2 linked regions of the Schizosaccharomyces pombe genome follow. The protein of the gene in region 1 interacts with the protein of each later gene in a biochemical or structural test. Each region holds a gene or a part of one and is shown on either strand. Other genes may lie near its edges. The genes, in order: rbd2 and cdc48.

The links.
Region 2: the proteins of rbd2 (region 1) and cdc48 form a complex in vitro, tested with the Schizosaccharomyces pombe proteins (one study listed by BioGRID).

What each region holds. Positions count from the first base shown.
Region 1 is NC_003421.2:2,244,016-2,247,943, reverse strand, and holds rbd2 (Golgi rhomboid protease Rbd2), read right to left. Parts: upstream 2,097-3,928; 5' UTR 1,985-2,096; coding exon 1,819-1,984; intron 1,773-1,818; coding exon 1,496-1,772; intron 1,342-1,495; coding exon 1,029-1,341; 3' UTR 701-1,028; downstream 1-700. Other genes in the region: Ran GTPase-binding protein Mog1, read left to right, coding at 1-352; pep3 (ubiquitin-protein ligase E3), read right to left, coding at 2,590-3,903.
Region 2 is NC_003424.3:1,304,332-1,308,259, forward strand, and holds the start of cdc48 (AAA family ATPase involved in ubiquitin-mediated protein degradation Cdc48), read left to right. Parts: upstream 1-2,113; 5' UTR 2,114-2,125; coding exon 2,126-2,181; intron 2,182-2,237; coding exon 2,238-3,928. Other genes in the region: knd1 (cullin-associated NEDD8-dissociated protein 1), read right to left, coding at 1-1,211, 1,250-1,286. UniProt on the Schizosaccharomyces pombe protein: ATP-dependent chaperone which probably uses the energy provided by ATP hydrolysis to generate mechanical force to unfold substrate proteins, disassemble protein complexes, and disaggregate protein aggregates.

The sequences.
Region 1 (3,928 bases):
TCAAAGAGTAATTTGGAGAGACAAAAGTCTTGGTGAAGACGACTTTGAGGGCATGAGAAGCGAAAAGGCTAGTGGATCTTCTGTACAAGGTTGTCAGAGGGTCCTTGAAAAAGGAAAGCGAAATCCTGAATCCGCTACCAATGTGGCAATCTTCGTGAATGTGATAACTTTGATTGACTTTCAAACAGATATCGTAATCTCCGTAAATGCTCCTTTACCTAACACTTCCTCAGTTCCCTCTTCTGTTGAAAACATTCCCCCTTCTGATCAAAGCATCGTTCGCGCTGCTCTCGAAACAATACAGCGAGTTACTCGATCTCTTGTACTTGTCGATAAAACAGTATTTGCTTAAAGGATGATGGACATAGGCAAGCAAATTAACTAGCCCACAACACTTAATTAAGATTTTCATCTAGGGAAATACTTTTCAAGTTTTATTTTTCTTTATCCGAAAGGAATTGTTTCTCTTATTTATAAAAACCGGTTATTCCAACTTGTATGAAGGGTTTTAATAAAAACATCTGATACTTGATAACCGATTAGCAATGGTTTTCACTTTTTCTGCTATTATTTTAATTTTCCCATTCTTCCATTGTTAATAGTATAAGTTTCACTGTGTCTTTACAGTTTAATGTTTTATGATTTGAGAGTACAACGTAAAACGCTAGTTTCCAAAGAATAACGGAAATTACAATTTCAAGGTGTTTTGATTGTACAGCTTTTGTCCTTTACACTGCCGCTGTAGGACAGTGGTGATTAAAACAAGTTAATCATAAAGAATTATTAAACATTAAAATACTTTCTAATTGTCCCTAACTCCGTGCAAGTAAAGAACAAATATAGCGAATGAAACAATCTTTATGATTGAAACCTGTAAACGACTGACTAGAAAATACTGAATAAGAATTACCAAAAGATAGAAGATCTCTTCATTGAGAGGAGCTTTTCCACCCTTTGCAATAAAGAAAACAAACATTTAGGATATCATCATACGAAGAAGAACAGAAAAGAAGTAAAAGACAGAAAGTTCATCCCCCAAGACGGGTTCCTTTTCCGGGGAAAGAAGAAAAGGTCGACAGAGGTTCCGCAATGGGGAGTTGAGCATGCGACAGTTGATCAAAAGAGTGATAGTTTTTTACCCAAGACTGGAAGATTGGGTCCACATTTTGAGCCCAGCTTTTTAAGGGGATAGAACCAAGCATGAAAGGAGTACAATACCCCATAACAGCTCCGGATGCATGCCCGATAAAGCTAGCTTTTGGAACCAATATGGTAGTCATAATTAGGTAAATAATAGGAAAACAATATGCAGGAATGCTGAAAAGATTAAAAAAGCTGATTCTAAAAAATAAGTTAATAAACCGCCATCATTTAAAAGACAAGAGAGGTTCGACGTTTGCAAAAAATCATACAAACCAGGTTGTTTCTTAACATTGTGAGGAAAGAAGACGTGTGGAAGTATGCATCTGCAACCATAATTATAAGAAATGCTTACAATCGTTGTGGAGAGTGAACACAGGAAGCAGAGATAAAAGCAAAAGCCCATCCACTAAGTCCAGCAATAGAAACGTAATCTTTTCTCAAGAAAAAATGGTAGACAATTAAATGCATAATACCCGGGAAAAGAGTGTAAGGAATGACCGTCACCAAAATGCACGCCAAAGTGCCTTGCTTCTTTTCAAATTGAGACATTGCTGGCAACAGGGATACAAAGTTAAATACAATATGCAACATTGAAAGATGAAGAGTTACATAAGTTATAATTTCATACACTACTCTCTCCGTTATTAATTAAAGTACCAAGGAATTTTAACTTACGCTGCCTTTTTTGCAACAATCCTATCCAGCTAAGAGACAGAACCCCCGTGGATATTCCAAAGAAGGAAAGTGCATACACCAGAATGGCGATATAAGTTATTATTTGCGTCCATATCGGTAATTTCAGAATGAACTCCTTTGATCGTCCTAGAATCATGAAAATCATCGAGAAGCTACTAATTTAATATCCGTACAATTTTGATTTAATAAATTTTTCAAAATTAGTTCAAAGGGGACTGAAATACGATCTGGATACGCTAATGCGGCATATGGTTCACGAAGGAAGATCCGGTCACCTGAAGCGAATATGAGAGCTCGCCTTACGTTTGCAGACAAACCAAAGGAAAGCCAAGGGTTTTATTCAAAAATATTGGTTTTATTTTAAAATCGCACGCTTACCGTGTGGAGTGTGAGCTATTTCTACTCATTAGCACAAAAAACAATATAACCGGTTTAAGAATATATATGAGAAAAGAATTATGACTTTTAGTCGTGATTCGAAAACGAATAGCACTTTAAAAACAATTAAAAATTCTAGATATAAGAAGTTGTAGCTTCCAATTTCAATGCTAATATTATATTAGAAATATCAAATTTTTCAGGGGTGGTAACGACTAGGGAGATCGATGTCAAAGACAATATGAGTGAAAAAACTAGTCATTAGTATAAATTTCATTGAGTCTAAAACTGTTTAAGTCAAGGTCGTTAAGGCTGTTCGGTGCAAGCAATAAACGACTCGAAAACACATAATAATGGTAATTTAAATGGCACTCAAAAATCCGTCGAAAAAGGTTCATTAATAAGTCTTACAGCATAAGAAGGACCACACAACTGACATTCTTTCAAAATGTTTTTTTCTGATGCCAGTTTGTAAGTTTTTTCTAGCATACAACTGCGATGAAAAGCATGCTGACAAGGAAATAAAACAAATGGTTCGGAAAAAAGAGGTTGGTTGCAGTGCCAGCATGATTCATTGGGCTCCAAAACAATGTACCTATTACGCATATTTTCAGCGTTAGTTTGTATTTCATGCGCAACTTCTGATGCTTGTCCGATTTCGAAGTCCAGCTGTTCAATTCTTTTCATGCAATGATCCAGTTCATCACACACATTATCACTTAAATCGTCCAGTTTTATATCTTCTGGCAATAGGCGAATAAGCTCGGGAAGTTGTAAAACCTCGGAATTCTCTAAAAATCTCAAGGTTTCTTTAATTCCACTTTTTTTGGAAAACATATATTTTGCAATAGTCTGCCACAAAGTTTTTTTCAACACAACATCTTCCTCTGGAATATTTGCTATCGTAGCAGCTAATTCACAATCATCTGCTTCTAAGGCTAATTCCACTCCTTGGCTATACAGCTTCATAAGCACCAGAATTTTTACTGCACTTCTCCGACAGTTAAATTGCAAGCATAATCGAATTCCTAAATCCATATCGTACAAAGGATGATTTCCTTGCTGTTCAATATAATTCATTAAGTAAGACTCATTAGAACTCGAATGACAAGCGTAAATGCAGAACAATGTATTATGAATAGATGGATCTACGCACCCCAAAACACCAGTAACGTATCTAAGGTATCTTATGGCCGCATTTTCCTCTACCGGTACGTGAGAACGCTGATTATAACTCAAGAGGGATGGTATCAATGCATGTACGTCCAAATCTGTTTGACGTTCCCAAATGCTGACAGTTTCATTCGGTCGATGAGTTAAAAGGGCAGTCGCATGCTGAATGAGGGTTTCTTGACTGACGCCTTCATTTAATGTCTCCAACGCTTTTTCATAGTTCTCTCTTTGTACCCAATAGTGCATTATGTAAGACTGGTCTTTCATAACGGTAGCAATTTGAAGTAACTGTTCTTCCTTACCATAGTTATTAGCAAGATTATAAGCTGCTTCACGATTTATCTCATCTTTGTATTGATTAAGAAGAGTTGAAAACTCCCGTTGAACCTGTTGGCGCTGTTGCATTACATTTTCAGGAAATAATTCGAGACGCTCTTTTTCATCAAGAGAATTCAATTTGGCCAGCATTAACTCTAAAAGCCAGTTAACTAACAACGATTTTTGAATTTTCATCTAATATATTATGTTAGAAATTTAA
Region 2 (3,928 bases), on another chromosome or scaffold:
TGCATACACCTCTATCCAACGAGGAACATGCAAGAATGCTTGTTTTAATACTTCGATAGAAATCAAGCAAACAGATTCCTCTCTATCGTTTAACTTACTAACCACAGAAGTCCCTAGTGCTTGAAGGACTATAGGCAAATACTCTAAACGTGACAAAATTACAGACAAAACGACTTTCAAAGATTCTCTTCTAACAATCCAAGATACATCTTCTTCATCTTCGTAAATGCTGCTATAGTCACTCATTTCTTCGAGAAAGTCAGCGATATCATCTTCATCATTAGTATCAGATATTAAATTGGGATCATAAGAAATTTTAGAGATTAAGAGACCATGTAATTCTGGCCAAATTTTCAAAATATTCACTTGTTGGTACTCTAATAACAATCCTAAAACCTCCAACAATTTTTGCGTTAACTCATCTGGGGCTTCTTCCTTCTTTAATAACGATAATATTTTATTGGTGTAGTCAGCAACTGCTGTTGAGATGAATGATGTAGATGAATCTTTTTCTTTTTTAGATGACAGAAGTATTTCGTTAAGCAATTTAATAGAAATATTTACCTCGGACATTTGGGTCGAGGGTCCCAAACCTCGATCAAGCACCTCAATTATATATTTGTATGCAAAGCGAGGCCCATAAAGTGATACGTCAGAAAGGAGATAGCAAGCCTTTTTAATAATTAATTCTCTTTGGCATTGTGTCGTACATTTTTGGAATACGTCTATACACAATTCAAAATTGTTAGGTAGAAGAGTCGAAAGATTAGAATGGTATATTTCTAGAGAATCACAGACCACACAGAGAATTGCAAAAAATTCCTCTTGAGCAACGTTGTACTGTTTTAAAATTTGTAAAAATGAAGGGAATACAGTCGAAGTATAAAATTTGTTTACGAAAGGTTGGACGTTCGAGTTGGACAAAAGCAAACTGAGAGCAGACAAGTAATTTTTCGATTTCTTCCCAGCAACTCCAGAAAGCAAATTTTCAACAGTAGATTTTAACTTATCTTGTGGAATTTTGCTAGAAATTATAGCAACACAACGAACTGCCTCTTGTTGAACCTCTGGCGAAGCATCACTCAGTGCTTGTAATAAAACATCGAGTGTATCAGGAAAGCTCTCCAATTTGAGATTTTTCAAATGGTTTGCATCATTAAGTCGGGCAGCTAAATCGCTGAGTGCCATGTAACGTATGTCTTTATCGCTACCTGCAACAGTTAGAGCTAGTTTTTTATTTTTAACATACTTTCAACGTATTTTTTTAATAAAATTCCCTCCTCCATTTTACAATTGATTAATTTTTATGGCCACTAAGGTAGGGATTCAGCAGTTTGTACAATGAGCCTGACAGCGTGTATCATAAAGGATTCCACACCATAAGCCATATAACGAACAGTAAGTATGGATATTTAAAACACATTAAATTCCTTATTAAAGATTGAACTAATTTTATTATTGATTGTGCAATACAATCAATAACCATAAAAGAAGAATATTTGATTAGCCTTAACTTACTGCTAAACACTTTTACAAAACGCTTTCTAGAAAATTGATGTTTATAGTTATAATGATAAATAATATTGCAAGGGTTTCAAACTAAAATATTTAGCTTACTAAACCGCCAACCAAGTTTCATTTCAATTGAAAACGGATAACACTCAAAATGTTTATTTTATGCTTAGTAATGAAGTTTTAAGCACATTTAGATATAGGGCGGTCGTTCGAATTTTTGCATTTCTGTAGTTTAAAATTTCCTCGTAGATTTTACTAGAAAATTGTTTACTATTGATGTTCTTGGAACATTCTAATAGCAACGACGTTTCCTTGGTAAAAGAAGAATAGATAAATTAAATTTGGCAATTTATACAATACGTGTTTTCTAGAGATGCGTTAAATAAAAACAATCTAGCGAAAATAATGGAAATTGGTAGTAACGACCTTGCGAGGCAGCTATGTAGCAGAAAGACTCAACTGCTTACAGATGTTATTATACAGAAAAAAAACAATTAGAAGAATATTTAGAAATAATTTACCTTTTTGAGCAATAATTTCATGTATCTTTATAAATTGAATGCTCATATATAAGCGCATGGTGCATGGTCGAATGAACGCACCATCCACCATGACCGATAAGAAACCAGAAGTGGAACACCTTCAGGGTGAAAACCCTCCAAAAGAGTATGTTTTCGATGTAGCAGTAACTTTTTTTTAGAATTCGATGCTAACAAGCTCAGTACATATAGTGCAGAAGACACAGCAACAGCTATTCTTCGTAAAAAAAGAAAACCAAATTCTCTAGTGGTCGATGACGCTACCAACGATGATAACTCAGTAATCACATTGTCGTCCAATACCATGGAGACTTTACAACTTTTCCGTGGTGACACAGTTGTCGTTAAAGGAAAGAGACGGAAAGACACTGTCTTGATTGTTTTAACTGACGAAGAAATGGAAGATGGCGTAGCAAGAATTAATCGTGTTGTTCGTAACAACTTGCGCGTAAGGTTAGGCGATATTGTAACGATCAATCCTTGTCCAGATATTAAATATGCTGAACGAATTTCAGTACTACCCTTGGCTGATACCGTCGAGGGTCTTACTGGTTCTCTCTTTGATGTTTACCTTAAGCCGTACTTTGTTGAAGCGTATCGTCCTATTCGAAAGGGCGATCTTTTCGTTGTACGGGGTAGTATGCGTCAAGTTGAATTTAAAGTTGTTGATGTTGCTCCTGATGAATTTGGCATTGTTAGCCAGGATACAATTATTCATTGGGAAGGTGAACCCATTAATCGTGAGGATGAAGAAAGTAGCTTGGCAGAAGTTGGCTATGACGATATCGGTGGTTGTCGTCGCCAGATGGCTCAAATCCGTGAGCTTGTCGAGCTTCCCCTCCGTCATCCCCAATTATTCAAAAGTATAGGTATCAAGCCACCTCGTGGTATCCTTATGTATGGTCCTCCAGGTACCGGTAAAACTTTAATGGCTCGCGCAGTTGCTAATGAAACGGGCGCTTTCTTTTTCCTGATTAATGGTCCTGAGATTATGTCAAAAATGGCAGGCGAATCTGAGTCTAATTTGCGGAAGGCGTTTGAAGAAGCCGAAAAAAATTCCCCTGCTATTATTTTTATTGATGAGATAGATTCTATTGCTCCCAAGCGTGAAAAAACGAATGGTGAAGTTGAACGACGTGTTGTTTCACAATTATTGACTTTAATGGATGGTATGAAAGCTCGTAGTAATGTTGTAGTAATGGCCGCTACCAATCGTCCTAACTCTATCGATCCGGCATTGAGACGTTTTGGTCGTTTTGATCGTGAAGTCGATGTTGGTATTCCTGATCCCACCGGCCGCTTAGAGATCCTTCGTATTCACACAAAGAACATGAAGCTTGCTGATGACGTTGATCTTGAGCAAATTGCTGCTGAGACTCATGGTTACGTTGGATCTGATTTGGCATCTTTGTGTTCTGAAGCTGCCATGCAACAGATTCGTGAAAAGATGGATATGATTGACTTGGATGAAGATGAGATTGATGCCGAGGTTTTAGACTCTCTAGGTGTTACAATGGATAACTTCAGATTTGCCCTTGGTTCCAGCAATCCTTCTGCTTTGCGTGAAACCGTTGTGGAAGTTCCCAATGTTCGTTGGGAAGACATTGGTGGATTGGAAGAAGTTAAGCGTGAATTACGTGAAACTGTCCAGATGCCTGTTATGTATGCCGAAAAGTTTTTGCGTTTTGGTGTCACTCCCAGCAAAGGTGTTTTGTTTTTCGGACCCCCTGGTACAGGTAAGACATTGTTGGCGAAAGCCATTGCCAACGAATGTTCTGCCAACTTTATTTCAGTAAAGGGACCCGAATTGCTTAGCATGTGGTTTGGTGAGTCTGAATCAAACGTTCGTGATATATTTGACAAGGCTCGTGCTG